7 linked regions of the Bombyx mori genome follow. The protein of the gene in region 3 interacts with the protein of the main gene of each other region in a pairwise test. Links are inferred from orthologs where the notes say so. Each region holds a gene or a part of one and is shown on either strand. Other genes may lie near its edges.

Region 1 (4,924 bases), on a different chromosome or scaffold from region 3:
TGCTGATAATTCTGATGTGGTTTCAGGATCAATAGTATATTTTCTGCTTCTCCACAATACACGGTCAGTCCATGCTGGTGCTCTGCATTTTTCACTGGTATCATAATCATCACTAAATAGATCATATTTATAAGTTGGAGGAAATGTAATTTCTCCTTCAAAGCAGTTTTTGAAAACTAAATCTTGTGACTTTTGCTGTAAAAGTTGATCTTGCTCCAAAAGCCTTTGCAAATTATTTTGTGAAGCCAAAAGGCGTACTTCATCTTTATCTAAATCTATACGATAATTAAAATCACCACACCAAAATACATAGTCATGGGAGTACAGAGAGCGACCCATGGGAAATGCAATTTTTCTAGTAATTTCTGTGTAATCAGCATTACGCTCTGTAACTTGTGATTGACCAGCAGCAAAATGTGCACAAACAAAACATAGTGAGGTTCCATAAATTACCATTCTTATTCCCACAGCACCTTTATTCCCAGTAGCCCCTCCAAGTCCAGTCTTAACTGAATCAAGTGCTACATCTCTGATATGCGGTATTAAATCTTTTCTAACAAATATGAATAAACATACTCCAACAAGTTGATGACTAGACAGAAGTGTATAAGATGCATCTCTGCCTAACACTTTTTCCAGTTCCTCACTCCATGCTTTTGCATTATCAGTACTAGCTGCCATAATATTACTAGCATTTAAATCAACTATTTCTTCAAAGCCTATTGCAAATATGTCAGAAGGATGATCCTTCAGATTGACTGTATTTACCAAAGATGAATTTGGACAATCTAATAACCAGTCAGATAATGAAACATCCTTATAAGCAAGACTTCTGAAATGTTTACCACCATTCACATTGTATGTGCCAATAGTTATTCTAAGAGTTGAAGGTTGAGTGAATTCATTCGTTCTACGACACATTTCCCTCAAGATAGCTGTAGAAGTGTGTAGTATGTTAGATGGCAACAGTATTCTTGTGCGGTCTGCCAGTTCAGAGTTTAATGTTGAACCAAGTAATAAAATATCAATTGCTTCTTGCTTTGAGTTGTCTAATAAATTGTTCTGGATAGTCCTGGCAGCAGATCGAGCTCCATCAATTAGTTTGGAGCCTCCTTGAATTGCACCAGTTCCAGCATAAATTTTAGATATTTCATTTCCATTATTCACCCACATCTGTTTGTAAACTTCTTCAAATCTATTAACATTTTGTTTTTTATCAAGACATTGTAGTAGCATTAATTGAACAGCAAGCATTTCTAAACCAATAAATGTCTGAATAGAATTTGTTCTATCTAAGCAATCCAAGCAATTGGTCCTTATAACTCCCTTTTGAATATTATAAATGTCTGACCCTTTTGCACTAAAAATCCCAATCTCATCATAATATTTCTCAATATTCTGTTTAAATTTTGATAGAGCTATCTCTTGGGATGTTGCTCTTACTTCCTGATGATAGTCAAAAACAATTTGTAGGACATCAGAATGTGGAGATTCATTAATGTGTTTCTGGAAAGCATTACTTAATGTTGCCTCACCTTCACTACCCCCAATCATGTTAGATCCAAGCAGATTTACAACTATTACAGATCCATAATTACGCTTTAACTGGGCAAAATGTCTCTCACAAGCACTTGTTGATGCATCATAGCCTCTTGACATTTTTACTTTGTGTGAGCCAACTTGTATTCCAGGTTGTTCCCAAAACAATGGCACAGACCCTCTTGTTTGTATATAAGATGCTACAGAATCATCAATGTAAACAGCTTGTTCAGTTTCTACAAAGTTTGCCACATTTCCATCATCATTACAACCTCGCACATTAAATCTAGTTCCAGCCCTTTCACAACTAAGTCTTGAGACAAGTACAGCCCTAGCTTGACGATGCCCAACATAAATAGTGCGTATTTCTACAGATCCACACATTGCTCGAGTTAGCCACTCATCACAATCTATGCCATATCTGATTAGATGTATGTACAGTGTTCTATTCCAAAAGAACCTATTATCAGGGTTGGCTCCTTTACTTTTTCTTTGGGCACACAGAGTCAAATCAAAAAGATTATCATTGTTTTTGCCAGAATACCAAGAGAAATAAAATGTACCTGAATTAATTAATTTTCGGACTTCCGAAACCTTATCATCACCTTGCGATTGGTAGAACAGTGGCAGAAATTGAGTTTGCGTTATCTTAAATACTTCTAAATCCCCCACTTTACCAACAGAAGAGCATCCGGTGATTAACACAAGATACAGAAGACAGCTTTCACCAGAATTTAGCTGAAGTACTCCAAGACATCCATAAGCGTCTGCAACTTTATGGTATTGTTTCCTTAAAGTTTCTGTTTCTTGCGATGATAAGGAAACAACGGCTTGAGATTCGAAAAGAAGTGCAGTGTCTTTGTTTCTGTGTTGTAATATTATGCTATACGGACTGGGGGGCGATGATTTCTCCAGAACTTTAAAGCCTTTGGACATAGCCATGTTTAGTTTCTATTTGGCGATTATCACGCCATTAGCTTTTAAGATAAGTCAAATAACAATTATAAATTTATATGAGAATAACCGAGACCAATCTTCGACTTGGTGGACAGAATGAATTCAATCAAATCAATCCACCCATAGAATAGTGAATAGTGCTTATCCAATTTAATCTATGCTACTAGTGGTGTGACAAACGGCTTAAAATTGACAAGCGCTTAACACTTTTCAAGTTTTACGTATGCTTTTTGGAATAGCTTTTTAAATCAGGAAATCAGGAAGCTTTCTTATTGTAAACGTACATAGCTTTAAAACAATGGTAAGACGCTTTATTTGTATCGAGTGCTGCGACTAAGCAGGAGTTCAAAACACGCCTGAGTCTTGCGGGTTAGTTAGTTATTTATCAGTTATTAGAAAATATCTAAGTCGAGTTCCATAACGATTTCAACGAGAAAAGAATTGCATTGGAAAATAAAAATCAAATCCGTTAAACTTGTGAATTGCGTAATTACCTACTGGTGTTGGGACATTTTTGAGCTTGCTGAGTTAAAACCCATCGACCTTTATCTATTACTCTATTACTATGGCAGCACACCAGCAATCCGTTCTATATTGATTTACGGTACAATTGAGTCTTGGACCACATGTTACAAGAAAATAAGATTAAAAATGGATGTCATTTTATAATTGAAAAAATATCATTGAAAATACACAACTGTTACAAAAATGAATTTCTAGCATGGTATATTTAAAAATTTATATAATATTCTTATTCCCATACCCATTGTTTTCTGGAATATTAAGCTTCATATATATGAAATGTTTACATCTATCTATGCATTATTACCATCCTCTTAGCACGACTTATAATAACGAACATTAATTTCATGACAACACTGTTTTGATTTGCATTTTCGCCGTTAACGTTGCGGTTAGTACGTTAACGAGACCTACCCAACAATAAAAGTATTACACTAACGATTGGTACACTCACTTTATTTAAAGACAAGTGTTATGTAACAGGCGGAAATCAACTTAACGTTTACTCTATCTAAATTAAATTTGAAACTCTTTTTGGTATGAGGTTACTTTTCAATAGATACTATTAGTACGGTACCTACTTTCATTCAAAGACTACCCAGGTATAATACATTACTTGTCTGCTTTTCGATGATCGACTTCTTCATCTTCTTCTTTATTTTTTGGCTCTGGTACAGTTTGTGCGTTAGCCAGCGTCAAGTAATAAGATTTTTATAATTCGCCCGTTTTAATTAAAACCTTTAAGCTGTAAAGTTTATGAATAATAAAAAACGAAGGAAAAGCAAATTCAGCACAAAAACAGCGTCCGCCAAATTCCAATGTTTCCCGCGTTTTTTTTCTTCTAATAATTTAATGTTGATTTATGTAACGATTGGAACACAACACCACATCGTCGAAGCAATGAGACGATACGGCATTAGGAAGTGAAATGAAATTTATTAAAATGAAACATGGCATGAAATGAGATGAGATATGGGATGAAATATAATCTCAATAAAATGGTGGTAATTTACTGAGACTTTTTGGAGAATCCCGAGAAGCTACGTCCAACTGCTTTGTTTAATTTTACCACATTTTTGCACTTTCACAGATACTAAACAGTAAATAAACCACCGTAATTACTCATTTAAATCTAAAGAAACACTAAATAGATAAAATAAATTAATTCAACAACTTCGCTCCTCGCGTTCCCGCCAAAAAGTCGATGATCGAATTTTTTAAGTACCTACCTATATCGCTTAAAACCACGCTCTGATTACTACGTATCTACTATTCAGTGACACCCACCATCTGGTACCTACCTAATTAAAGATTTTAAACACAATTTAACAAAATGGATTATAGATACCAAAATGAATTTCTAAAGATTTTTTTAATTTATTTCATTGCCTACATTCTAGTGATTTTATAGTGCGTCATTAATTACTCGTACAAAAATAATGCACTTAAATAATATCATTAGGTTAAGCGTATTTATGCGGCCAGTTTTAGTCTTTTAAGGCGTATTTACTTACAAAATTAAATACGCCAATTTTGAATCGTAAACAAGGTCAAAATAATAAATCAATACTTTGGTGACATGTCAATGACTTTTATTCGTTTTATGCTGTTGGAATAATTTAGAAGAACGGAAAAAATGTGTCTAATACAAAATACGTACCTTTTTTATTGATTGAGGGATTACCGGTGGCCTTGGTTCCAGTTTCCCAAAAACAGGTGCAGGAGCAAGGGCTCAGCCAGGAGGGAAAATACGTACCATGAAAGTAGTGTAAATATAATTTTATTGAGGATATTTTTCATTGCCTTTTTAAATTCAATGTGCAAATACCGACCACCGAACAAAAGAAGTACGAAAGTAAGAATATTAAGAACAATTTTAAGGGAAAGAAACATTTTTGTAGTTACG
Region 2 (4,733 bases), on a different chromosome or scaffold from region 3:
CGAATCCCCACCTTTCAAAACGGAGCGCTTAATTAGCTCATTTAGCGTGCTTGCGAGTTTTTTAACGTTCTCGATAGCGTAAAAGTTAACTCAATTTTGTATGGAGTCGGAACGTTTGCCTACGTTAGCCGCTAGGGACGCTGTTTCAACTGCATACAATTATGAGTTAACTTTTACGTTATCGAGAACGTTAAAAACTCGCTTTTTTTTTTCTACCTAAGCTGGTAGCCTGGAACGGCTATTCCAGCATAACCGTAACTAGTAGGTGAGCTCACGGGGCTCAAACCTGACGACGATGCTAACACGAACCCTAGTAAGTCGTGCTTCGCAGAAACTACCACCGGATCGGAATCGCGACCTACTGAGAAGATCCGGCGAGAAACTCAGTGGGCTGTGTCCGAGAGTTAATTTACTCGTCGAGCCCTTCGTCGCAAGCGACGGGTTCGACGAGAACGGTGACCGGTGCTGGAAGTATCTAGAAGCACCGTTAGTGGATCGGGAGGATCCGAGATGCCGTGTTTTGGGCGACGTAGACTGCTTTCCATTCTGTCCAGAAACTCGCACTAAGCACACAGCCTACCTGGTGTTAAATTGTTACTGGAGACCATAGACATCTACAACGTAAACGCGCCACCCACCTTGATATATAAGTTCTAAGGTCTAAGTATAGTTACAACGGCTGCCCCAGCCTTCAAACCGAAACGCATTACTGCTTCACGGTAGAATTCCAACTTCTAATAATATTAAAAAAATGGTCCAACTTCTACTATTGTTAAAGAAAATTGACCTTACTACAACTACGACTAAAGTATGTTTTTATTTTGTCACGTACGGAACGTATCCCTTATAATACCATATATGTACACACACATATATCGAGGGGTGAAAGAAAGGCCATTTGTGTATTAAGCGACATTTTTGTAACTTTACAGAAGAACAATTTAAAGTTTAAAAGTTGGAGAGAAAAAAAAAGCTTAGTCTAAGTCAGTGATGTCCACGGACAGCTGAGGATTCACAACCTCAGAATAGGTACCTATTGTAATGTATTTTGGCGGTAATTTGTCAAAACAAAATTGTTCTAAATTATACATAACATACCTCCACGTATCTCATGTTATCCTGGTACTTTTACTCCTAATTACTTTTTTTTATTGTCCTTGTAGGCAGACGAGCTTACGGCCCACCTGATGGTGAGTGGTCACCGTCGCCCATGGACTACAGCAATGTCAGGGGCAGAGCTAAACTGCTGCCTACCATTAAGTACTCTCGACAAGCATCGTTTGAAGAAGGACATGTCATGGCGCTCGAGAAACACCGTGGAGGGGAGCTCATTCCAAAGTCGGATGGTGCGTAGCAGAAAAAATTATTAAACTGACAGATGAAACTATCTTGTTTAATATCTCCTCGCAGATCATGGTTTCCTGGTAACTTGTGACTATATTACTATTTTAGCCGGCGGCCCGATTGATGTTAAGTGGTTGCCGGACCGTTTTCTTTATTGCCCTTGCAGTCAGACGAGCATACGGCCCATCTGATGGTGAGTGATCACCGTCGCCCATGGACCTCAGCCAATGTTAGAAATCGGACAGACATCATCACGAATGTCAGACTCCCATCTCAAGATGTGCGCTACACTTTAAAATATGTTAACTAGCTACCGCTATTGTGGGAGAGTGCAATTACCACCAGTAAATTTGGTTCGTTTTACGTTACAATACTAAGAGATTGCTGTTGTCCATTCTCTGGTGAATCCTTTAATTTCTCTCAGGTTGAGCCCGACCGGGCGTAGCTGGAATAGCCTCTTAGACTACTAACGAATAAATAGACAAAGAATCCTACAGTCTTTTACCACGTCCCGGGGAGAGACGAGATGGTATTCGAGGATACCACGCCCTGGCTTCTATTAGATTACCCGCCAGATCTTCTCCGTGGGTCGCGATTCCGATCCGGTGGTAGATTAAGAGAAGCTCTGCCCTCGCTTGGGCCAGTGTTAGCAAATCCTCTTAGATTGGGCCCGTGAAGAACCTACATATACATAGGTTTAAGAAAACTATTAAAGAACGTCTGTGCAATAAAGCTTACTATAAAGTCAATGATTATCTAGAAGATTGCACAAAGTGGGAATGAGTTGCTCGCTCCGGGCATTTCAATATTGCAATAATTGTTATGTTATAATACTCATTGTAAAAAAAAATATAAAAAAAAAATCTAATACATATTTAAAAAAAAGACAATATGCCCGCTGAGTTTCTTGCCAGTTCTTCTCAGGACGGAGGCTAGTTTTTGTGAATTGGCGGTAGTTCTTTTTGACGTTTATCAAGTATGTATGTTGAATAATTTTTTTTTTATTTGATTTGATTGTGAGCTCACCTACCCGTCAAGGCGTAGCTGGAATAGCTTCTTAGACTATCAGGAAATAGGTCGGGAAAAAAGCTATTTCCTTCCTACCCCTTCCAAATCGAACAATTATTAAATGTTAAAACAATTAGTAAGCTGACCGACCATATCGTTAAAATACCTCCATAAAGAATTATAATTGCATCAAATGATTTCCCTAATGTGGGTGATTAAAATTAAATTAATGCATTGTTAATTTAATGGCCGTTAAATTTTCATTATAAATCTTTAAAGGTGATCTTTTGTTGTATGAACAAAGCAGAGATTATTAGCTTCTGAAGCCCACATGATCCAAGTTGATGGAATCACAATAACTTCAACGGCACGGGACAGACATCCCACGCATTTCGGCCACTAATCAATCGGTAGTTTCATCACACTTTATATTTCTATTAAACAGAGGGTAATTACTTAACCCACAGACACAGCCCACTGAGTTTCTCGTCGGATTTTCTCAGTGGGTCGCGTTTCCGATCCGGTAGTAGATTTAGCGACTGCTCTTGCTAGGGCTAGTGTTAGCAACGTCGTCAAGTTAGAGTCCCGTGAGCTCACCCACTCTAGCATGGCCCCTAGAAGTTACTAGAATAAGTAGGAAAAAACAAAAAAAAAAGGGTAGTTATATTACAATCGCTCACCTAAGCCTATTTTCTTTTTGATTTTCTTCAAAACTTTCATTTTCGATCCTTTTTTGTCTTTCACCGGGGTAGTCTCCGGCTCCGTCATGGCCATCGGAGGTAGGACCAAGGTCTGAGGGGGCATCTGTCCTGAAGACCTGGGGCAGGCCGGGCAGTGGCACACACCTCTGGCCTGCCGAACGCTAACACAACCACCAACGCCCATCATTTAAACGATTTAACTTGATATTTACGTGGGACAGTTTAATTCATCACTTTTTAACTTTTGATTATTTTATTATTATTATTTATTTACGCGGCGGCTGCGATCGCTCACGACGCGACACGACAACCAACTGACTACTACGAAGCGTAACGCTCGACTGACGCCGCGGGGACGTCGGGAAAGCTGCGCGCGCATACAAAACGTGCCCTTAGCGTTTGTCTCTTTCGCACGCACTATATTAAAGCGAGACGCAAGAGAGCAGTTGCGTTATTACAGTCGCTCCACACTTCACGCTTCAGGTGAGCCGTGAACTCTACTGTATATTTTTTTTTAATTTTTTTTTTAATATACTGCCATTACTTTTGGACAGTGTCTTCATGTATTGAATTAATTTTATTTCATTCAACAACAACAACGGCCCGGAGATCATTAGGAGATGCTTTTTTTTTATACAAGACTAAAGAAACTATTAACTATTGAGACCTTAGAACTTATATCTCAAGGTGGGTGGGGCATTTATGTCGTAGATGTCTATGTCCAGTAACCACTTAACACCAGTTAGGCTGTGAGCTCGTCCACCCATCCAAACAATAAAAAAAACCTCAAAACAGCACTAGTTAAATTTTTGATTCGCAGAATTTGAAGCAAACGAATCCACTGGACGCTTCGCGTTTTCGAAATACGAACGAAAAATAACGCCCTGCCGTTACATAATAATATACTATAAGAATTATATTTTGGTAGACAGCGGCTTGGCTTTGCTCGTGCTATTGCTGATGTCCCATTCCCGATCCTGCGGAAAGAATGGAAAGCAGTCGACGTCGCCCCAGACACGTCATTTCGGATCTTCCCGATCCACTAACGGTGCTTTTAGGTACCTCAAACGCCGGTCACCGTTTTCGTCGAACCCGTGGCTCGACGAGTAAATTAACCCACAGACACAGCCCACTGAGTTTCTCGCCGGATCTTCTCAGTGGGTCGCGTTTCCGATCCGGTGGTAGATTCTGCGAAGCGCGACTCTTGCTAGGGTTCGTGTTAGCAACGCCGTCAGGTTTAAGCCCCGTGAGCTCACCTACTAGTTAAGGTTCCGCTGAAGTAGCCTCTCAAGACTCTCAGCTTGGGTAGGAAAAAAAAAAGCTGATGTCCGTGAGCGACGGAAACCACTCACCATCAGGTGGGCCATTTGCTCGTCTGCAAAAACTACTCTGCAAGGTCAATAAAAAAAAATCATGTTCATTTACGCTCATTAAAAAAAACCCAAAGAGAATGTCGAATTTTGTATACATTAATTGTCCTGTAAGGTTAAGCTGATAATAACTCGTAGTTTATAGGTAAAAAAACAATGAGTGCCATTCTATTTTATTCATAAGCCGCTTCATCGCTTGTATACGGTAAAATTAGAAAAATAAAAAATAAAAAAAAAGTAACACTGTTCCGCCCCAAACGTACTCTATGTAGTTTAAGTCCAATTCAAAAAATGTCTAGACCTTAAGTAA
Region 3 (4,710 bases):
ATACTTCTAATCACAGACTTCGCCAAGACTACACTATAGACAAATAACATTAAAGAAAAACAATATTAATCTATTCTCAATTAGACCACAGACTTTAAACAATAAACAAAAGTTTGACAATAATATGTGTTGTCAAAGTTGTATTGTCAAAGTGTGTGTAATGTTTTATTTATTGATTTAGTGTATTTTTATGCATAATTTAGAAAAAAAATATTAACATTCTGCACTCCTTCTCTTTATTCTCTATAAGTGTGGGTAGTTTGAAAACTCCTCCGTCCGCGTGATTTTCGTAAAAAAAGGGGTAAAGTTTTTGCTTCACGTATTAATATTTCTTAGTATTATTACAGGAAAAGTAATTAAGTATTTTATTGTTCATTAATTCTGGAATATTCCGTATCATTACATAAATACCCGTGATTATCCCACCGGGATCCCGGTCACATTCCACCGGGCGAACGAGACTTGAGACTCACCTGTGGGGCTTAAAGAGGCGATCAGAGATGGTGGAAGCATCTTCGGCACCTCTAAGCCGCGCAGTTTCAAGTTTATAATCTGTAATGAACACACAATTTTACTGGTGGTAGGATGTCTTGTGAGTCCGCACGGGTAGGCACCACCACCCTACCTATTTCCGCCGTGAAGCAGTAATGCGTTTCGCATTGAAGGTTGGCGCAGCCGTTGTAACTATACTGAGACCTTAGAACTCATATCTCAAGGTTTGTGGTGGAATTTACGTTATAGATGTCCTATGAGCTCCAGTAACCATTTAACACCAGGTGGGCTGTGAGATTGTCCACTCATCTAAGCAATAAAAAAAAGATCACGGATAGAACATAAGGTGGCGTCCTATGTCTGTGTACGATAGAACATCGATTATGATCGAAAAAAAGGTTACTTTATTTGCAAAAATTTAAAAAAAGCTTCTATATAATAAATATATGTATATATAGTCCATAAGAACCGATGTTTTTTATATCGATGTTTCACTTTTGGAAATATCGATATCCTAACATCGTTATTTTTAATGAGCGATTTTTCAACCGGATACGGACGTTGGCACATTCGCAAATTATGAAGACTACACAGAAACTCACCTTGCAAGCTATAGAGAACTCCTTCAAATCCAGCTTACCGTCGGCGTTCGTGTCCGCCAGTGACCATATTTGTCCCAAGACCGGTGGAGGAAGCTGAGACTGTGAACAGAAAGACAAACAAAACTTATTTTAAACTAGCTGTGCCCGCGAATTCGTCTGCGTGGAATTAAAAAAATATTACTTTATTCTATAATAATGTTACGCCGATAAGAGCAACGCCATCTGTTGTCGAATGGCAGAAGTGAATATCAAAGGAACTAGTAAACTCGAGAACGCTCGGGAAGTACAACGCCATCTATTGTCAGATAACGGAAACAGATATCCACACGACTCGACTTGCCAGAAATCGGAACTACTCGAAGCGAAACAGCGAACGGATCACCTGAAGCGAAGCGGAAAAAGCGAATTACGAAGTATTTTAGGTGTTTAATTTGTACTGTGGTTGTATTTGTGGAAATTTTATTTATCCCGAACCCCAGCGTGTAAAAATAATTTTAGAATTTCTCTAAAATAGAAGTAGCCTAATTTACTCTTTATTCCATCTCGTGTGTTTAGTGCGAGTGTTTTAACGTTCTCGATCGCGTAAAAGTTAACTCAAATTTATATGAAACGAAATAAATATGAAAAAAAAAAATTGTTTGGAGTTGGAACGTTTGCCTACGTTGGTCGCTAGGGGCGCTGTTCCATATCCATACAAATTTGAGTTAACTTTAGGCAGCAGTAGGGCAGCGGCTTGGCTCTGCCCCTGGCATTGCTGAAGTCCATGGGCGACGGTAACCACTCACCATCAGGTGGGCCGTATGCCCATCTGCCTACAAGGACAATAAAAAAAAAAAGTTCTAGATTTATAATAAATACGCAAATTAACTGACCTGTAACATGAATCTTTTAGCTTGTTCGCCCGTCAAATTTCCATTGACAGGTCCAAGGTTTCTAAAGTGCTCCGAGAACTTCGCATGCTCATGTGCTTGTATAGTCCACGGGTCCGCCATCATTTCTGAATTAAAGACGTTTCTTTGAACCTAAAAAAAGATATACCTCTTAGTATGTATGCAGTCTTCATTACAGGAAGCCTAAATTTATAATCATAGAAAAATCCTAATCCTTTTTCATTGTTTAATTTTCAACATTTTGATTGACATTAATGCAGTAATTTTGAGAATATTTTAATTTGGCATTGTATATTTAATGTTGTCTTTGGAAATCAAACAATGCTTCCTTTGGGAAGTTAATATTAGAACAGGTGAATATATCTATATTAAGTTATAATATTGAACTAGATAAACCATCAGATAATATCTTATTATGAGCATGTTTCTGCATATCTTGGTTTATCAAATTTAAAAAAAGAAATGCATATCACGGTTTAAGGTTTATGTTGTACTATTAAAAAAATTTGTTTGATTTTAAACAATAGACATTGCAACATGTTTTTGTTAACTTTTTCCCGACAATCAGGAGCGGTGTCTTTAGCCAAATTGTATGAATAGAATGTCTCCAATATGGTAGGTCATGATAAAGTACGAAAAAGCCTTGATTAATCAAGTGAAAAGTAGACTTCTAAATTTTTCCTATATTTTATCACTTCTCTAAATCTATTAAAGATGTACCTAAGTTCTATTTAAAATATTTGCTCGACGTACAGACGTGTGTCACATACAATAAGTAACTCAACATACAATAAGTATTAGAATACTACAATTGGTAGAGCAGTTCAAGATAATGTTCTTAATTTTTTAATATTGCTAGCTCGTTGTTTTATAACTCCGTGACCCGGATAAAGTTTAAAGATACCTTAAGCACTAATATTCAATACATTTTTTTGTTAAAATCAACGTTGTTCAATAAATTAATAATAAGTACTACTACTCTTTTGGTACCAACAGGCAGGGGGTGTGTCTGCGAACTAAAACAAATATTTAGGAATTAAATTCTAGGGAATTACATAATGTATTACTTACTTTAACTGTTGTTTGACCTAAGAGAATAGATTTAAGACTGATCCTCCTGAAAAAGGATCGAGTAAAACCCCTCAAAGTTCTAGATAAAGTATTGATTTTTTGATTGGGTGCAACTGTCAAAATCGAAATTTGGTTTTTGACAGTTAATTTTTTTATTGTGGCTCGCTCGGTTTGTGCATTAGCCAGTGTCAATTATTAATTATTTTGCCGTTTATAAATAATAAAAAACGAAGGAAACTGTCTATGTTGGCCATTATTATTCTGTGTAAGTAGATATGAATTACATTAGCAGCGTCTGTCATTTTTCATAAAATTAAGAATATAAACTAAAATAAGATATGACTTAAAGATCTTAGTTACCATGTCATAAAATTCCTAAAAAAAAGAGATAGAGATAGAAGTGAGTTATTATTTTGAGTAGAAAGGCTGTATGGGCTTAGATCCCCTTGCCTTTCATAATAAGGAAAAATTGTACCAAAAAATATATTTTGAGTAGAACGAATTGATATAATAAAAAGTTCGAACTTATAAAATGACCAAAACAGCGGATAACATCAACCCTCACATTTACGAGAAGGGTTCAGAACGGGAGATCACTTCTTCGGAACGCGACGAAGACTTGCAAGATGAATTTGATGATCGCGAAATATTTGATTTAATACGAAATATAAATGATCCTGAACACCCATTGACACTCGAGGAGCTCAGGGTGGTGGAAGAGAAGAATATAATCGTTAATAACGATGATAGTACTGTATTAGTCAATTTTACACCGACAATTCCCCATTGCAGTATGGCGACTCTGATAGGTACGTACTTTTTTTAGCATTAAAACCTATAGTTAATGAGAGAGTAACACACACATAACCAACGCACACCGATAATGGTGGAACAGCCAATATTTCTAAATTAATATTATCATACTAATGTTTTTTTATTGGCAAGCAAATAAACATTCATGCCCAGCCAACGAACAGCTTCCTTTTTTTAATTGCGTGGGTAGACGATCATACAGCCCGCTTGGTGGGGAGTAGCTACAGTCCCTCATGGAAGGTAGCAATTTCAGGGGTGCAACTAAAGTGCAGTCTACCGCTGACCATTTTCAATGGATTGATAATGGGTTACCGTAAACTCTTATCTCTCATCTCTCATCTTAGGCAGTTGAAAAGATCTCGCCAGTTATATTTCAAAATTGTCACCTCTCTTTCGGCCAATATGATCGAAGAACTCAAATATCTTCCTGAAGCAGACGATAGAAAGCCTTTGGATATTGAGCTGTTTTAATATGGATGCGTTAGTCTGATATTTTGTCCACGGAATAGTCACTACTGTCTAGCCTATTCCCAATTTGAACCATTATTGTTTTTGCTTAAGAGAGAGTAATTTTAAAATAGGGCTCAAACTTCGAGTTGCTCAAACTTCGAGTTCAGGACTCAAGATGGGTGGCAGTTGTCCCAATGTGATGTCCACGGACATCTGTAATGGCTATAAACTATGAGAGCTGTGAGCTTGTTCATTCCCCTAGTGCAGTTAAACACTTTTGTAGATAATCTGTTCTGTTATAGTTCTAATTAAAGTTGTGAAGCTTCCGGAAAAAAGTACTGCAAGCTTAATTAATGAGATTTGATTTTTATTTCAGGTCTTTCAATACGAGT
Region 4 (4,248 bases), on a different chromosome or scaffold from region 3:
GTAGAATATAAATGCTTATATTAACCCTTCTTGAAAATAATTACTTTTAAATCATAATTAGTTGGTACATCAACAATAACGCTAAAGACGAACACATCCGGTAGTTGCCGTTGGATTGTGTGTTTTGCATGCAATGTAACAAAATAAAGAAATCAGCTGACACGCGCGGTCATTGACCTCGACGGAACGCTGGTCCGTCCGCAGCTGTTTTCTGTGCGCTTAAAAAAACGACAAGTATTATAATTCTAAATAATGAACAAAGTAGCTGATGTTTATTAATTTATCGACAGAATGATTCAGACTTTGCAAACCGATTTTGAACGCACCATCGAAGGTTCCGGATCGGCGCAGATCAACACCAACGAATTGTCCGGTGGCGCTAAGATCAACAGGCTTTTCCACGAACGTTTTCCTTTTGAAATTGTCAAAATGGAGTTTGACGAAAAGGAACTGCGCCGCGAGATCGCGTTCGCCATTCGAAATATCCACGGTATCCGAGTAAGTCAACTATATTTTTAACCATTTGACTGAACGCACTGAAGCAATTATGAAGCGATTTCTGTTACTAAGGCGCCGAAACATCTAGTATTTTTATGGCAATTATATGTGAATAAGCTTACAACGCTTCTGGTGTTTGGCGATGCCTGGAACTCATAGCCGTCATCCACCTTGAGATGTTAAGTTTATGTATTTATAATTGTCATTCGACACGAAATAGACATCTGTAGAAATTTAATTTGCATAAGTCATATTGAGATAGTTTACAAGGTGGGTTCGTTGAATTTCGCTAAGTATCAACTTAATTGTTTTGATAGGTGGGTTTGTTCACACCGGATATGGCGTTTGAGGCTATCGTGAAAAAGCAGATCGGACGTCTGAAGGAGCCGTGCCTGAAGTGCGTCGATCTGGTTGTGCAGGAGCTGTCCAACGTTGTACGGATTTGCACCGAACGAGTATGTAACATAATTCGATAACGTAATTAAATTTTACAACAGCAATACATTATTATTATTATTTTATTGCTTAGTTTACTTTAGTATTTTTACTGGTGGTAGGACGTCTTGTGGTAGGTACCACCACCCTGTCTATTTCTGCCGTGAAGCAATAATGCGTTTCGGTTTGAAGGGCGGGGCAGACGTTGTAACTATACTGAGACCTTAGAAACTTATATCTCAAGGTGGATGGCGCATTTACGTTTTAGATGTCTATGGGCTTCAGTAACCACTTAATACCAGGTGGGCGGTGAGCTCGTCCACCCATCTAAGCAATAGAAAAAAAATAGTTGGAAATATTTATGAGGTTTTGGCACATGGCAAAGTAGTTACTGGAGTTCATAGACACCGCAGGGTTAATGCTGACAGCCAAGGTTTGTATAAAAAAAAAACTACATCTAAGCTTATTAATATTGTTCTTTAATTGCAGAACACATACATACAACAAATGTATTTAGACGCTAGCCACAACGTAGCATACGGCAGTCCTTAACGTAGAAATGTTTGGTTTTGAAAAACGTGAATACTCTCAGAATTTTAATACGTTTAGTTGAAGATGTTGGTCTTTGTTGTCTGTTTTGATTAGCACGGTGAGGTGACCATAAATTTGGAAAGATATTTTTAGTGAAATCAGCCCGAACCTAGTTATTTTTCTTTTTATCTATCACATCTTCAAAAAAAAATCGGTAGACTATATACGTTCTCATGAATACAGACACGTCATCTCGGATCCTCCCGATCCATTAGCGGTGCTTTTAGGTACCTCAAGCACCGGTCATCGTTCTCGTCGAACCCGTCGCTTGCGACGAAGGGCTCGGCGAGTAAATTAACTCACAGACACAGCCCACTGAGTTTCTCGCCGGATCTTCTCAGTGGGTCGCGTTTTCGATCCAGTGGTAGATTCTGCGAAGCACTGCTCTTGCTAGGGTTCGTGTTAGCAACAACGTCAGGATTGAGCCCCGTGAGCTCACCTACTAGCCCGGTGACGCTGACATACTTCTCTAGGCTAGGCTTCTCTAGACCATCAGATTAGGTAGGAAAAAAAAATGAATACGCCATGACAGGGTAATGAAGCACATGCATCTATTAGTAGACAAGCTGTACCCATCTGCTTCGCTGGGCATTTAAAATTAACATTATTATTTTTCACCCCCACAAAGATTCTCATCATTAACGCCCTCGCAACTGGTGTAGGGAGTTCAACACTCATATAAATATTAGCCCATCCCTTAAAGTACATGTATTTTTTACATGGATACCAATTCTCAAGTCAATCGGATGCATGGTTCAGTAGTTACAACGGAACATCCGTAAAAACCACTGTAGATTTATATATTAGTATAAATACAACAACAACATAATCACACAAAACATTAATCTTATTTGACATACAATTTACAGATGTCTCGTTACCCGCGCCTGCGCGAAGAGACGGAGCGCATCATAATGTCGCACGTGCGCTCGCGGGAGCAGATGTGCAAGGATCAGCTGGTGCTGCTCATCGACTGCGAACTGGCTTATATGAATACCAATCATGAAGATTTCATTGGATTCGCGAAGTTAGTAAAATATATTTATATTTTGAATTAAGAAATGAGAACATCCCTTTTAAAGATAAATGATGTTGAATTGTTGACGGATTTCTCTTCTTCTCGTCTTGTATTTTATATTACATATTTTCTTTTCGGCAACAGCGCACAAAATCAGTCTGAGAACTCTGCGAAGTCAGGACATCGAGCGCTCGGAAATCAGGTGATCCGAAAAGGATACATGTGCATTCACAATCTGGGAATTATGAAGGGTAGGTTTTTTTCTTAAATCGTTATATGCATTAGTTGATATGTCCGATTTCTGCTTTATTATGTAATATAAATTAATTTTAATATTTTCGGCTGTGTGGCATAGAAAATCATGGCAATTGTTCCCACGGGTTTCCTTTAAGGCGACTAAGGCCTAGGCCGCACTACGGTGAAACCGCAGCGGCTATTAACCGTGTGAGTTTACGAAACACGAAAACGAATATAAGCGGCCGCACTTGCGGTTCCTTCCCGCGACTGATTTTAAAACCGCGAAATGTTTCAAAATTGTTGCGGAAAAAAACCGCAACAAAATTTATAATCCATAGAACTAGGTATCCGTGCACGCACTATGCGTAACCGCGGGCGGTTTTTTGAAATGTCAAATACATTTGCGAAATTTTGTTTCCATCAACTGACATCCGATAGTAATTGAAAAAAATCTCTAAGTGTTTTCTTACATTTTGATATTTCTTATGAAAGAAACCTTTCTCAAATCTACGGCTAGTAAGTAGATGGACCCATCGTTTGTGAAATTTTCGTTGTCGTTTTTTCTATTTCTTAGTACCAGAGCAACACTACATACTGGCTCTTTTGAAATTTATCCATCTGCAAACTGTGAAAATCGCGGGCAAATTCGCGGTTAATAATTGTAGTGTGTGAGTCTGAAGCGGTTTCGCGGTTATAGCGGTTAACCGCTCACGGGAAAAAACCGTAGTGCGGCCTAGGCCTAAGGGATTCCCCGTAGAGTGAACAGCAGTGTTCTCTGAGTATTATAAGTATTTTATAAGAGTTTAAATTTCATGCTAGACACGGAGCCTATAGTTAGAGATATGTTGTCAAAGTTTTGTGTGTTACGCTAAGTCTATATTTTATGTCTCTCATACACATAAATAAAAAAATTTAATTGTTATAATGATCTTAGAGATTTATACATAACAAATATATTTTATTTATCTTTACCTAAAAGTATATACATATAAATTTACAGTGGTTTTTACGGATGTTCCGTTATAACCACTGAACCATGCATCCGATTGACTTGAAACTTGGTATCCATGTAGAAATTAAATGCACTTAATGGATAGGCTAATATTTATTATGTGGGGTGAGAAATAATAATGTTAATTTTAAATTAAAAACAGCTAACCTTTACTAGTTATATTGTTTTTTAAATTTTATAAGACACTACACGTTCCTCTCCACTGCCTTATGATTCGATTTTTTTGTAAAGTTTTGAATTTAATTTGAAAATTTATAGGAGGTTCCCGCGACTACTGGTTCGTACTGACTTCTGAGAGCATCTCGTGGTACAAGGATGAAGAGGAGCGGGAGAAGAAGTACATGTTGCCCCTCGACGGGCTCAAGTTGAGAGATCTCGAGCAGGGCTTCATGTCGCGGCGACACATGTTCGCACTCTTCAACCCTGAAGGCAGAAATGTTTACAAGGTCAGTCATAC
Region 5 (4,248 bases), on a different chromosome or scaffold from region 3:
GCGGCTGTACGTACCAGCGCGTGCAGCGGCTGCAGCGCTGAGTGCGCGTGCTGCAGGCTCCGGGCGGCGGCTGTACGTACCAGCGCGTGCAGCGGCTGCAGCGCTGAGTGCGCGTGCTGCAGGCTCCGGGCGGCGGCTGTACGTACCAGCGCGTGCAGCGGCTGCAGCGCTGAGTGCGCGTGCTGCAGGCTCCGGGCGGCGGCTGTACGTACCAGCGCGTGCAGCGGCTGCAGCGCTGAGTGCGCGTGCTGCAGGCTCCGGGCGGCGGCTGTACGTACCAGCGCGTGCAGCGGCTGCAGCGCTGAGTGCGCGTGCTGCAGGCTCCGGGCGGCGGCTGTACGTACCAGCGCGTGCAGCGGCTGCAGCGCTGAGTGCGCGTGCTGCAGGCTCCGGGCGGCGGCTGTACGTACCAGCGCGTGCAGCGGCTGCAGCGCTGAGTGCGCGTGCTGCAGGCTCCGGGCGGCGGCTGTACGTACCAGCGCGTGCAGCGGCTGCAGCGCTGAGTGCGCGTGCTGCAGGCTCCGGGCGGCGGCTGTACGTACCAGCGCGTGCAGCGGCTGCAGCGCTGAGTGCGCGTGCTGCAGGCTCCGGGCGGCGGCTGTACGTACCAGCGCGTGCAGCGGCTGCAGCGCTGAGTGCGCGTGCTGCAGGCTCCGGGCGGCGGCTGTACGTACCAGCGCGTGCAGCGGCTGCAGCGCTGAGTGCGCGTGCTGCAGGCTCCGGGCGGCGGCTGTACGTACCAGCGCGTGCAGCGGCTGCAGCGCTGAGTGCGCGTGCTGCAGGCTCCGGGCGGCGGCTGTACGTACCAGCGAGTGCAGCGGCTGCAGCGCTGAGTGCGCGTGCTGCAGGCTCCGGGCGGCGGCTGTACGTACCAGCGCGTGCAGCGGCTGCAGCGCTGAGTGCGCGTGCTGCAGGCTCCGGGCGGCGGCTGTACGTACCAGCGCGTCGTTGGGCGTGGCTCCGCGCACGAGGCGCTCCAGGTGCGCGGGCGCGTGCAGCGGCTGCAGCGCTGAGTGCGCGTGCTGCAGCGCTGAGTGCGCGTGCTGCAGGCTCCGGGCGGCGGCTGTACGTACCAGCGCGTGCAGCGGCTGCAGCGCTGAGTGCGCGTGCTGCAGGCTCCGGGCGGCGGCTGTACGTACCAGCGCGTCGTTGGGCGTGGCTCCGCGCACGAGGCGCTCCAGGTGCGCGGGCGCGTGCAGCGGCTGCAGCGCTAACTGCACGTGCGACGCCGCGCCCCGCTCCAGCGCGTCGCAGGCTTCCTCCAGCGCGCGGTAGTGTTCCTCCAGGTGAGAGATCTTGATCTTGGCCTGCACAGAGGAGAGCGGGTCACTCGGCCGCTATTGACAATTTGTTTACTTGTGGGCGAGCGCTGTGGGTGTGCGTTCACACTTTGTATTCGCAGAAATACATGCTCCCATTATTATCAATTAAAACGAAAATATCTTTAAATAAAGTTCTCATTCACGGGCGCGTCTAATGCTTCATGACTTTACCACTGATTCGTGCTGCGGCAAGGGCATTGGGAGGAATCTGCGCGACTTTCTCCGAAAGGACTGACTAATAACAAAGGTGTCTCGTGCCAGAAGAATGCGTATTTGTTAGTGGCGTGAAGGGGCCGCACCTGGCTGAGCGCCAGCACGGCTTGCGGCAGCGCGGCGAGCGCGAGGGTGGCGCGCTCCTGCATGAGGGCGAGGTCATCGGTGAGGGCGCGGTGGCGCGCGGCCAGCGAGAGCGCGGCGGCCCTGCGCGCGCCCACCTCCGCCTCCGTCTCGGCGGCCGCGGCCTCCTGCGCGGCGGCCTGCCCGCGGAGCCGCTCCACCTGCGCCTTCAGGTCCTGCAGCCGCTTCTGCGCCTCGCCCTTCTGGTTCTCTAGTTGCTTTAGCGTCGCCGTCAGCGTCTCCAGCTCGCTCTGCAACAGAAGCGCGGGCTACAGCGCGGCGCGGCGGGGCGCGGCGGGGCGGGGCGCGGCGGGGCGGGGCGGGGCGGGGCGGGTGGCGCGGCGTGCGCGTGGCTGACCTGCAGCGCCTGCGTCTCGGCGTGCGCGGCGGACAGCGCGCGCTGCTTGTCGCCCAGGTCCTGCTCCAGCGCGCGCCGCTCGCGTCCCAGCGCCTCCACCTCGCGCGCCAGTGCCTCGAGCTCTGGCGTGGGCTGCGCGGCGGGGGCGGGCGCGGGGGGCTGCAGGGCGCGCGGCGGGAGGGCGCGGGGCGGGGAGAGTCCGCGCTGGGCGCGCTGCAGGAGGCGCACGCTGGCGGCGAACTGCACGCGGGACAGCTTGCCGGCGCCGTCCGCGTCGCACAGCGCCCTGCAGGCGACGCTCGCACTTAACATTTACACGAACAAACGGATGCGTTCACTCAGTTTGTAAATATTACTTGCTTCACAGCATTACTCAGCATATAGCTTTGCTATTATTTTAGTTTGTCTAAAGGTTTCACTTGTTTTTGTTTTAATTGGCTATCTGTTTCCTGTCTGATATTCTATTAAGATAATCTAAATTGTTGGTTTCTTTGAAATAAAAAAATTAAAAATTAAGTAATTAGTCGAGGCGGCGGTGCGCATGTAGGGACAGTACAATACAGGTTGCTGACCATATGCGCGCGAGAGTGTGCTGCGGCAGGCCCGAGGTGAGGAACACGTGCTTGATCTCGTCCCCGGACACGAACCCGTCCCGGTCGCGGTCGGCGGCGGCGAACTGCGGCTCCAGCGCCGCCAGCTCCGCCTCGCTCACGGGCTCCCAGCGCTCGTCCGCCGCGCCGCCCCCCGCGCCGCCCGCCAGGACTTGTGCGGCATCCTGGACACGAGGATTATGCCAAATTAAATTAATGAACAAAGGACAATGCCCAAAAGTGGGTCAACTTTATGTCAAAACTATTTGTACTTGAAAAACTATGCCTTATTTTTTCACGTTGTTTAGTTTATGTATCAACATTTCTTTCAACCTGGCATTGTTTTCCAAAAAAATAAATTACTTATTTGATAACATCCCAAAACTGAGTGCCATAGTTTTTAAATTCGCCAATAGGCAAAGGGCTTAGCCCATACAGCCTTATAGCAAACCTATATGCTATCAAACGAAAGAGTTGTTTGTGACATGAACAACAAATTAAAACAAAATAGCTAATGCTTATAATTCACAGGCTTCTTAGTTTATTTTTGTTCAATTCAATATTTATATATTGTAATAATAATTATTACTTAAAACCATGAGTTATTTTATTTAATATTTTTAGATATTAATGATTCCATTAGTAAAAATATCAATGGCCTACCATTACTCTATTCTTATTATATATGATCAGAGAGTTTTGGCAGCAACCCGGGTGAAACGTCGCGTCACTTGAATTTTTATTTTAATGTTTTTTTAATAGTTTATTGTGTAATTTGTATTATTGTATTTGTAATATTGTGTATAAAAGGTCTGCGTAGTGCTCATGCTCAGCCTCAGTCAATGTGGTATTCGTCGAGTTGAACTCAAAACTCCCAAAAAGCAATAAAAAGAGATACACCGGCTTTTTATTGACATAAAAAATATATAACTTCGACAGACTAGGCTGTATAGGCTACACTCTTTGCCTGCTTATTGGTGAATTTAAAAACAACAACAACAATATCGTTGCCGGCTTCCGGATTTTCATTTCATTTTATTATTATTATGAGGATATAATAATAATAAAATGTACGTAAGGGCTTATTTCTAGCAACATTAAGCACAATTAACTTATTTAATACTGTAAATAATTATGAGAGCGATTATTGATTTCGAAGAAAACAATTAACAACTTAATTTTAGCTGCAGAAAAAAACAGATTTCTCTTAAACCTGGGTGACAATATAAAAATAGTTTTATGAATATGAAACGATATTTTTTTGTCTATCAAAATAAGTTAAAACCATCATGACAGGACAACTTTTTTTAGGGGCCCAAACGCCCATAGAAAATGGGCATTGTCCTTTTGTGTATTTATTTCTGGATTAGCTATTACCCGCAGCTTCACCCGCGGTTAAGGAAAAGTCTCAGTGTAGTTTTCCGTGGGATTGAGAAGTTTTCTCGGGATAAGGGTAGCCCTAACATAATACTGTCACTTCAAAAAATCATGTCGATCCGCTGTTCGTTTGGACGCAAGAAAAGGAGAAACAAACACACTTTCACATTTAAAAAAATTAGTATGGATATTATTGTTGTACGCGTTTCATTGTGTTTTTCATGAAAGTGTTGTCAAACGATGATTTTTTATATTTAAGTTTCTT
Region 6 (4,138 bases), on a different chromosome or scaffold from region 3:
TTTGTAGTCATTCTATTTTTTTTATATATATATTATATATATTATTATATATATTATAATTTTGTAGTCTAGCGTATTCTATTTCGTTTCTAATTAGTCAAAAACTTTTCGTTCCAAACTTCCTCCGAAAATTTTTGTCTCTTGCCAGTAAATTTACCATTGTGGTTCGTATATTAGCGATTGTGTATCATTATACACTTCAATGCGTTGTGTTCATATATTATTATGTGTTTTTGTCAAATGGGTAGGTAGTTTGATAAAAATATAGGTCGATTACAATAGGTCTTAATTAAAATCAATAGGTCGGTAGGCAGCGGCTTGGCTCTGCCCCTGGCATTGCTGAAGTCCATGGGCAACGGTAACCACTCACCATCAGGTGGGCCGTATGCTCGTCTGCCTCCAAGGGCAATAAAAAAAAACAAAAACAAAATTAGACTTCCATCTTATAACTCAACATGGCGGCCTTCACTATTATATCTATGGTAACCATTTATAACAATACCCTAGTACACCTAAAGTGCAATCTTAAACAGTGAGACAGGCTTTTTGCTTGATTCATAAGTATGATTTTGATTGTCAGGTACCTATCAAATGTACACTATTTACTTACTTCATAAAATTAGGGAGTTCAATAAAACAAGCGGTTGTTTTAATATGTATATGTAATATTACAATAAATAAATTTTAAAACAGTTACGCAGTTAAATAATATGTAACTACTCGTAGTACAAAATTTATTTCTTTCGCTAATCGGGTGAGGTAATCGTGATATCTATGTTCTAAGTACATGCTGAACAATTAACATTTCTATTTATTTAAAACGATTTTTTCTGAAATGTTAGAAACAAATATAATATATTTTAAAGATATACGTATTACAAAAGCTTTATTTGATTCTGTTAGCTTTTTTGAACTTTAAACTGTTCAAATTTTGTCTTAATTGTACTTTGTAATTACTTTTGTACATACAGCTTTCACAACAATATTAATAAACATCAGAATTTATTATGAATTGTATTTATTGTAAAGTTCGTTGTACTGGTAATAATCATTAAACAAGTGGCGACATCTGTGCTCTGCACAGAGAACTACTAGAGTGTTCTGTATCGCGCTAATGATATTTATCGCTAAGTTCACTTCACTTAGAGGCAACACTGGCAGATCTTCCAAGAATGTAGTTAACTATATCAATATATTTACTTACTCTAATACAGCACAATTAACATGTTTATTGGATTACAATATTCATATATTATTAGGCACATATAATATCACTACGTCTATATTAAATTAATATGAGACTAGTTAGTTGCTCGCCTAATTCTAAGATTATATTAATATGATGTAGTATTAATTATAATTATATTAAAACATAACATCGTTAATTGTACTTGGTGAAAACGAAGCGTATTTGAAAATGATAATCTTTGAAATGTTGCATTAAAAACGTTTAAAGCATAAATACATCGTTACTATGTACTTAAATACAACAAGTTAATTTATATGAACTTAGATAAATATAATAGATTAAGTTTGATTACAACAAGGTTTTTTTTTTTTAAATAACGACTGTAGCTTTTTTGTATTTTCTCTCGAACGAAAAATGTTCATTATAGAATGTCCCTCTTCTGAACATTTCCCAGCAGAGCCTGAAAGTATTAAATGTTGCATTTAAAATTATTATTATATTAGTTCACACGTCATTCATTCAACGATAATGTCGAGGGATGAATACCTATTTGGTTGAAGCAACATATTTGCAACTTTACAAGATGGCTGTTGAAAGTATAAAATTTGAAAAAAATATCAAAACAAAAAAACGTCGTTCAGATACTTGAATAGAATAAGCTTAACTGAAATTCAATTAAAAAAAACCATCGAACTGTTGATGGTAATACCAAATAAAACGCACCTTTAATTACAAAGATAAATGTCGCGTATTAAGTGAAATCTCGCTTAAATCAACTGCCTTTCACCCCTCATTCGTTCATATTGATTTAGTTAAGAGATGATCGGAATCTATAACTGAACGCGCCATCACTCGCTTCGAAACGAGGTCCAAGTCTTAATTGTGTACGTAGTTTTTTTCGTTGCTTAGATGGGTGAACGAGCTCACAGTTCACCTGGTGTTAAGTGGTTACTGGAGCCCATAGAATTCTTTAACGTAAATGCGCCACCCACCTTGAGATATAAGTTCTAAGTTTTCAGTATAGTTACAACGGCTGCTCCACCCTTCAAACCGAAACGCATTACTGCTTCACGGCAGAAATAGGCAGGGCGGTGGTACCTACCCGGGCGGACTCAAGAGGTCCTACCACCAGTATAAAAATTGTTAAAACAAACCTTGTTAACAAAGTTGACGATGGCAGTAGCCGGCTGCTCAGGTTCGAGTTCGGCGAACACGTGGCACTGGTTGTCTTGCCCTGATGCGGACCGAGCGACGAATGCGAATATCCGTCTAAAACAAACAGGGTGATAGGAGCTTATCGTCGTTGTCAAACCAAAATCTGCTATTTTCGAAGCTGGGTGTAATGATTCCGCTGTACAAAGCAAGGAGGCCAGCACTGCGTGAACAAGAGTGTCAGTACAAGAAAGCGCTGGAAAGTGAGATTACTCTGATTTCCTTGTGGTCGAGCTGGGAACAAGAGGAACGATCTCGTTTGCTTTCTAAATATTTTTGGTATCCTCAACGACGATTTGGCCTTTATGACAAAGACGCAAAGTGCTCTATGCTTTGTTATTAATGACAACGACTGAATCGGTTACGTTCTCAAGTTGAATCATGTTTGAGTGCCCAGACTCAATATGGCCGACATGGTGTATGTTAGTCGAGGTCTGGACAGTGTGCCAACCATCGGTCCGGCGTCTCGAGAGGACTAATCGAGGTGAGTGGACATTGACAATCTAGTCAATCTCCTAATTGCGCGTTTTGCGCTGACGGGTAACAAGGCAATGAGTGGCGAAAATATCGGATTGAGTCGAAGCGCGTTCGACTCCCACACATCATTTCTTATTCTCAAAACGTGAGATGGTCCTTCTGACCCATACAATAAATCGTCTTCTCGCATTAATACTATCTAATCTCAAAACTTATTAATTTTACAGGAGAGTGTTTTAAAGGTTTAAAATATGTGATATTTTTAATATTAATCATCTTTGCAACATTTATTTTTTATTTTCTACCAGTTACATATCACTGGCCGACATCATTTTCCTTGTTCAAGTTCTGATTATTTTTTTCCACTAATTTGGTAGTGCTGATCACGAAATTATACCTCATTTTATCGTATCACATCAGGTTTTTAAAAAAGTTAAGACATTAGCTATTTTAAATTTTTTGATTAAAATAAATTAAATTTTAGATTTTGGCGCTCTTTTCTCGAATCGTGCGACCTCTCGTGAGGAAATATATTTGTTGCAACAACGACACACCCATTCGAAACAGGTTACATGCAAATAAACCTGTACAGTTACTTTGTTTATAAACTTTTTACTGAAATTAGTGTGTTTATTTAAAAAAAATCTTACGTTTTACTTATATATATATATATATATTTTTTTTATAGCTTTTTTACTTATATACAAAATTTCCATGCTTCTTGTGCGAGTGGGACAGTAGAGCACGAGACAAGCACTACGTTCAAAAATGATGGAATCCTCGTAAAAATCTCAAACTAGGAACAAAAAACGTTATACGAAAAATATAATTAGTCCTGAAAAAAATTTACTACCTCCGCTTCATATCAAACTCGGTATGATGAAAGAGTTCGTTAAAGCATTGGATAAAAACAATGCTAGTTTTGAATACCTGTGTAAAAAAATTCCAAGATTATCTGATGCAAAAATTAAAGAAGCAGTGTTTGATGGACCGCAATTCAGATCTTTGATGGCTGATGAAAAATTTGATGCCACAATGAATAACACTGAATCAGATGCTTGGCTGGCGTTCAAAGATGTTGTCAACAATTTTCTAGGAAATAATAAACATCCCGACTATAAAAATAAGGTTGCAAACTTATTGGATAAGTATCAAAAATTGGGGTGTAATATGAGCATAAAACTCCACTTTTTAGATTCACATGTGGAATTTTTTCCTGATAATCTTGGTGATTACAGTGAAGAGCAGGGAGAAAGGTTT
Region 7 (3,216 bases), on a different chromosome or scaffold from region 3:
CAATAACCCACGTCCAAACCTCGCATGACACAGAAGTCATGAAAAGACAAAGGGGGGAGTGTGAAGGGAAAGTGAAGCGTTTAGTGCGGAGCACATCTCTCCCATCACCCTCCCCCTCGGGACGCCGGACGGGCGGTCGTCCTCTTGCTAGGGCTAGTGTTATTAAGTTCTCTCAGACTGAGCCCTGTGAGTTTTCCAAACAAACGCAAGATTAATTACCATTTATTTATTAAATCAAATACGTTAAACCTTTGTTTGTACTTAAATAACGTCATTATATGTTTTATTTAAACAAATAGCTTAGCCTATATCTTTATATTCCTACTCTGTGTACTATTCAAATTTTTATGACCTTTTATAATTTCAACTCAAAGAAGGTAAGTAGTCATGACTTGAGCATTTTTAAGGTTCATTTATCAATGCGGTGTATAATATGATACTCAGGTCGCAGAAACAAGTAAAAAATGTTTATTTTAATAAATAATGAACATTTGTGAAGGGGTGACGTTGATAAATGGATGAAAGAGGTTCATGTCACAGGAAAATTTTTTTTTAGGCATCGGCTCCACCTTCTTTCTGCCACTGTTGATGTCAACGCCTTAAAAAGCGATAACATTTTCAATTAATTACTAAAAAATAACTGCAGTGAATATTTAAAATATATTTCAAGGTATTTATAAAATTTGTTAATATTTTCTAAACTTTTTTTTTAAAGTAATGGTTATTGAATTGCGCTAAGTAATCGAATACAGTTCATATTGGAATAATAAAAGAAACACGTAGAAATTAATTTAAAGTCTCACTCGAGTAACTCAAGTAAGTAAAATAAGTTTTGCTCAAGTAAAATAGACATTAAAACGTAATAATTTATTAGTACTTATAGTTTATGGACGAATACAACAAATATCAAAAGTTGTTTGAAATTGAGTGTTGTTGTTACATCTTGTCACTTTTACTTCCACTTTAATGTTATTAAACACAATATATATTATTTAGATAATATAAATTACTTAAACAAATAATAAAAGTATAAAAATAATGTTAGTTTTAATTTTAATTGAACGATCTCTTGTAGTATCGTTTATATTTCGATTATTCTTAGTCTGGTAGAAGAGCAAAGAGTCATCGTAACATTATAAATAAATAGTGTTTTAAATGTAGCTTGATTGCGGGACAGTTGTTGAAGAATAGGCTTAGGTGAATAAAACTAATTTTATTTCTTTTCGTACGTCCTAGAATATAGTTTTTCAAACGGAATTTATGACAACTGTCCCCAATATCGTGCTATGTTTAACGTACTATAACAATTGTGAGAAAATTACATACTATTGTTAATACTAATAAATATACTACCTATACTAGTAATAATAGTAAAAATAAAATGCAGTAGTAATATTTACTACTAATTTTAATGACATTCAGCTTAAAGTAATTATAGTCATATATGTATAATCGCAGAATGTACTGAAAAAAACAATTTCAGTCAAACATTTTCATCTCTTAAATGTCAAATTAAGGGTGTTTCTCCGCTACACTGGCTAGCTCCACTCCGTTGGATAGGCACTCTTAATGTAATCTACGTTTTAAAATTAAACATTAACAATAGGATGCATCTTCGTCGATTCCTGGGAGGTACTCCATCATGAGACTTCGACTTTCTCTCGTACTTTCCTCAGGATGCTCTGAAGCTCTGATGCCGAGGTCGTCTTGTACTGGAACAAATACATCATTATCATCATTATCAAACATATTATATTTCATACAAGTAGGTATATGAATACTGTCTAAAAAAATAATTGGAAATTCAATTCTATGGTGCATGAACATAAATTAACAAATTTAGGAAATATAATTAGAACGATCCAAATTGTAACATTATCATAACTATTGGACTAGTGGTCAAAATTCGACCATAATTAATTTAAATTATAAATTAGAAAATTACTATGGTTTATTATCAAAAACTATACTTCTACAATTAAAGGTTTCGCCAAGGTTACGCTATAGACTAATAATATAAAGACAAACAATATTAATAAATTCTCAATTAGACCACAGACTTTAACAAGACTTTTTGGCGGGAACGCGAGGAATGAAGTTGTATGATTTGTTTTATTTTGTCTATTTAGTGTTTCTTCAGGTTTAAATATGTAATAACGCTGGTTTATTAACTGATTAGTATCTGTGAAAGTGCACAAATGTGGGAAAATGAAACAAAGCCGCTGAACGTAGCTACTGGGGATACTCCAAAAAGTCCACTGAAAAAATCTCAGTAAATGACCACCATTTTACTGATATTATATTTCATCCAATATCATCACATCTCATCTCAACTCATTTCATTTCATCTCATTTAATTTAATTTCGTTTTCATTTCATTTCATTTCATGCCATGTTTCATATTAATCAGCCTCATTTCATTTCATATAATATCATTTTTCATGTAAAGAAGTTTTTATTAAAATTAAAATAACGCTAGACCTAAAGTTCTTAGTTACCAGGTCATAAAATCCCTTAAAAAAATACTTTAACAATAAACAAAAGAGTAAAATGCATGTGTGGGTCAAATACATGGTAGTGTGTGTAATGTTTTATTTATTGATTTAATGTATTTTTTGTTTAAAATTAAAAAAAAAAATTAGCATGTTGCACTCCTCTATATTCTCTATAAGTGTGGGAAATTTCATAATCCTCCTTCCGCGCAATCTTCGTAAAAAGGGGTACAAAGTTCACGTTCACGTATTAACATATTTAGATTTAAAGAGTTTCAAGATTTTATCATTATGCTATTTTATGTTTTTGGATCTCATCCTCCAAACTCTGACGCGAGATTATCTGGTTAAGGCAAATGGATGTGAGATGATGCAGTGCAAATCGTCAGAGGCTTAATATCTAAAGCTATGACAGCCTCACCGTGGACTCCACTCACCCCAGACACGTTCCTCTGGACCAAAATTTGGCTGTACAGTCGTTTCCCCTCATCCTGGCCCAGTGCCCTCTCCAGCTGAGATCTGGACAGCGCGAATAGCTGGTGTCCCGACATCCTCAGCTGGCGTTGGGCGGCATTGCTGAAACCCTTTGCTTCGAGCCATTCCACAACCTCGTCCGGATTCGATTTCTGAAATAGTTTTTTTTTTTATTGCGCTTGTAGGCAGACGAGCACGCGGCCCACCTGATGGTGAGTGGTTACGTCACCCATGGACTTCAGCAATGTCA

The links.
Region 1: the proteins of intersectin-1 (region 3) and synaptojanin-1 interact in a two-hybrid assay, tested with the Caenorhabditis elegans proteins (2 studies listed by BioGRID). The link is inferred for Bombyx mori from reciprocal best matches to the Caenorhabditis elegans genes itsn-1 and unc-26.
Region 2: the proteins of intersectin-1 (region 3) and protein neuralized interact in a two-hybrid assay, tested with the Caenorhabditis elegans proteins (2 studies listed by BioGRID). The link is inferred for Bombyx mori from reciprocal best matches to the Caenorhabditis elegans genes itsn-1 and F10D7.5.
Region 4: the proteins of intersectin-1 (region 3) and dynamin interact in a two-hybrid assay, tested with the Caenorhabditis elegans proteins (2 studies listed by BioGRID). The link is inferred for Bombyx mori from reciprocal best matches to the Caenorhabditis elegans genes itsn-1 and dyn-1.
Region 5: the proteins of intersectin-1 (region 3) and epidermal growth factor receptor substrate 15-like 1 interact in a two-hybrid assay, tested with the Caenorhabditis elegans proteins (3 studies listed by BioGRID). The link is inferred for Bombyx mori from reciprocal best matches to the Caenorhabditis elegans genes itsn-1 and ehs-1.
Region 6: the proteins of intersectin-1 (region 3) and tensin-1 interact in a two-hybrid assay, tested with the Caenorhabditis elegans proteins (2 studies listed by BioGRID). The link is inferred for Bombyx mori from reciprocal best matches to the Caenorhabditis elegans genes itsn-1 and tns-1.
Region 7: the proteins of intersectin-1 (region 3) and epidermal growth factor receptor kinase substrate 8-like protein 1 interact in a two-hybrid assay, tested with the Caenorhabditis elegans proteins (2 studies listed by BioGRID). The link is inferred for Bombyx mori from reciprocal best matches to the Caenorhabditis elegans genes itsn-1 and eps-8.

Annotation. Positions count from the first base shown.
Region 1 is NC_085118.1:11,391,096-11,396,019, forward strand, and holds the start of synaptojanin-1, read right to left. Parts: upstream 3,053-4,924; 5' UTR 2,482-3,052; coding exon 1-2,481. UniProt on the Caenorhabditis elegans protein: Probable inositol 5-phosphatase which regulates synaptic vesicle recycling in neurons by regulating clathrin-mediated endocytosis.
Region 2 is NC_085130.1:17,968,288-17,973,020, reverse strand, and holds the start of protein neuralized, read right to left. Parts: upstream 3,410-4,733; 5' UTR 3,241-3,409; coding exon 3,033-3,240; intron 1-3,032.
Region 3 is NC_085117.1:634,183-638,892, forward strand, and holds the start of intersectin-1, read right to left. Parts: upstream 3,191-4,710; 5' UTR 3,056-3,190; intron 2,117-3,055; 5' UTR 2,090-2,116; coding exon 1,967-2,089; intron 1,194-1,966; coding exon 1,095-1,193; intron 553-1,094; coding exon 474-552; intron 1-473. Other genes in the region: MIP18 family protein galla-2, read left to right, coding at 3,588-3,864, 4,695-4,710.
Region 4 is NC_085121.1:5,672,750-5,676,997, forward strand, and holds part of dynamin, read left to right. Parts: intron 1-290; coding exon 291-498; intron 499-815; coding exon 816-953; intron 954-2,393; coding exon 2,394-2,551; intron 2,552-2,686; coding exon 2,687-2,793; intron 2,794-4,049; coding exon 4,050-4,237; intron 4,238-4,248.
Region 5 is NC_085125.1:116,786-121,033, forward strand, and holds part of epidermal growth factor receptor substrate 15-like 1, read right to left. Parts: intron 2,792-4,248; coding exon 2,589-2,791; intron 2,303-2,588; coding exon 2,017-2,302; intron 1,910-2,016; coding exon 1,622-1,909; intron 1,308-1,621; coding exon 1,140-1,307; intron 1-1,139.
Region 6 is NC_085110.1:9,862,401-9,866,538, reverse strand, and holds the end of tensin-1, read right to left. Parts: intron 2,459-4,138; coding exon 2,344-2,458; intron 1,650-2,343; coding exon 1,611-1,649; 3' UTR 645-1,610; downstream 1-644. UniProt on the Caenorhabditis elegans protein: Probable phosphatase which regulates axon regeneration after injury by linking the svh-2 and integrin signaling pathways.
Region 7 is NC_085133.1:7,052,318-7,055,533, reverse strand, and holds the end of epidermal growth factor receptor kinase substrate 8-like protein 1, read right to left. Parts: intron 3,119-3,216; coding exon 2,914-3,118; intron 1,713-2,913; coding exon 1,597-1,712; 3' UTR 853-1,596; downstream 1-852.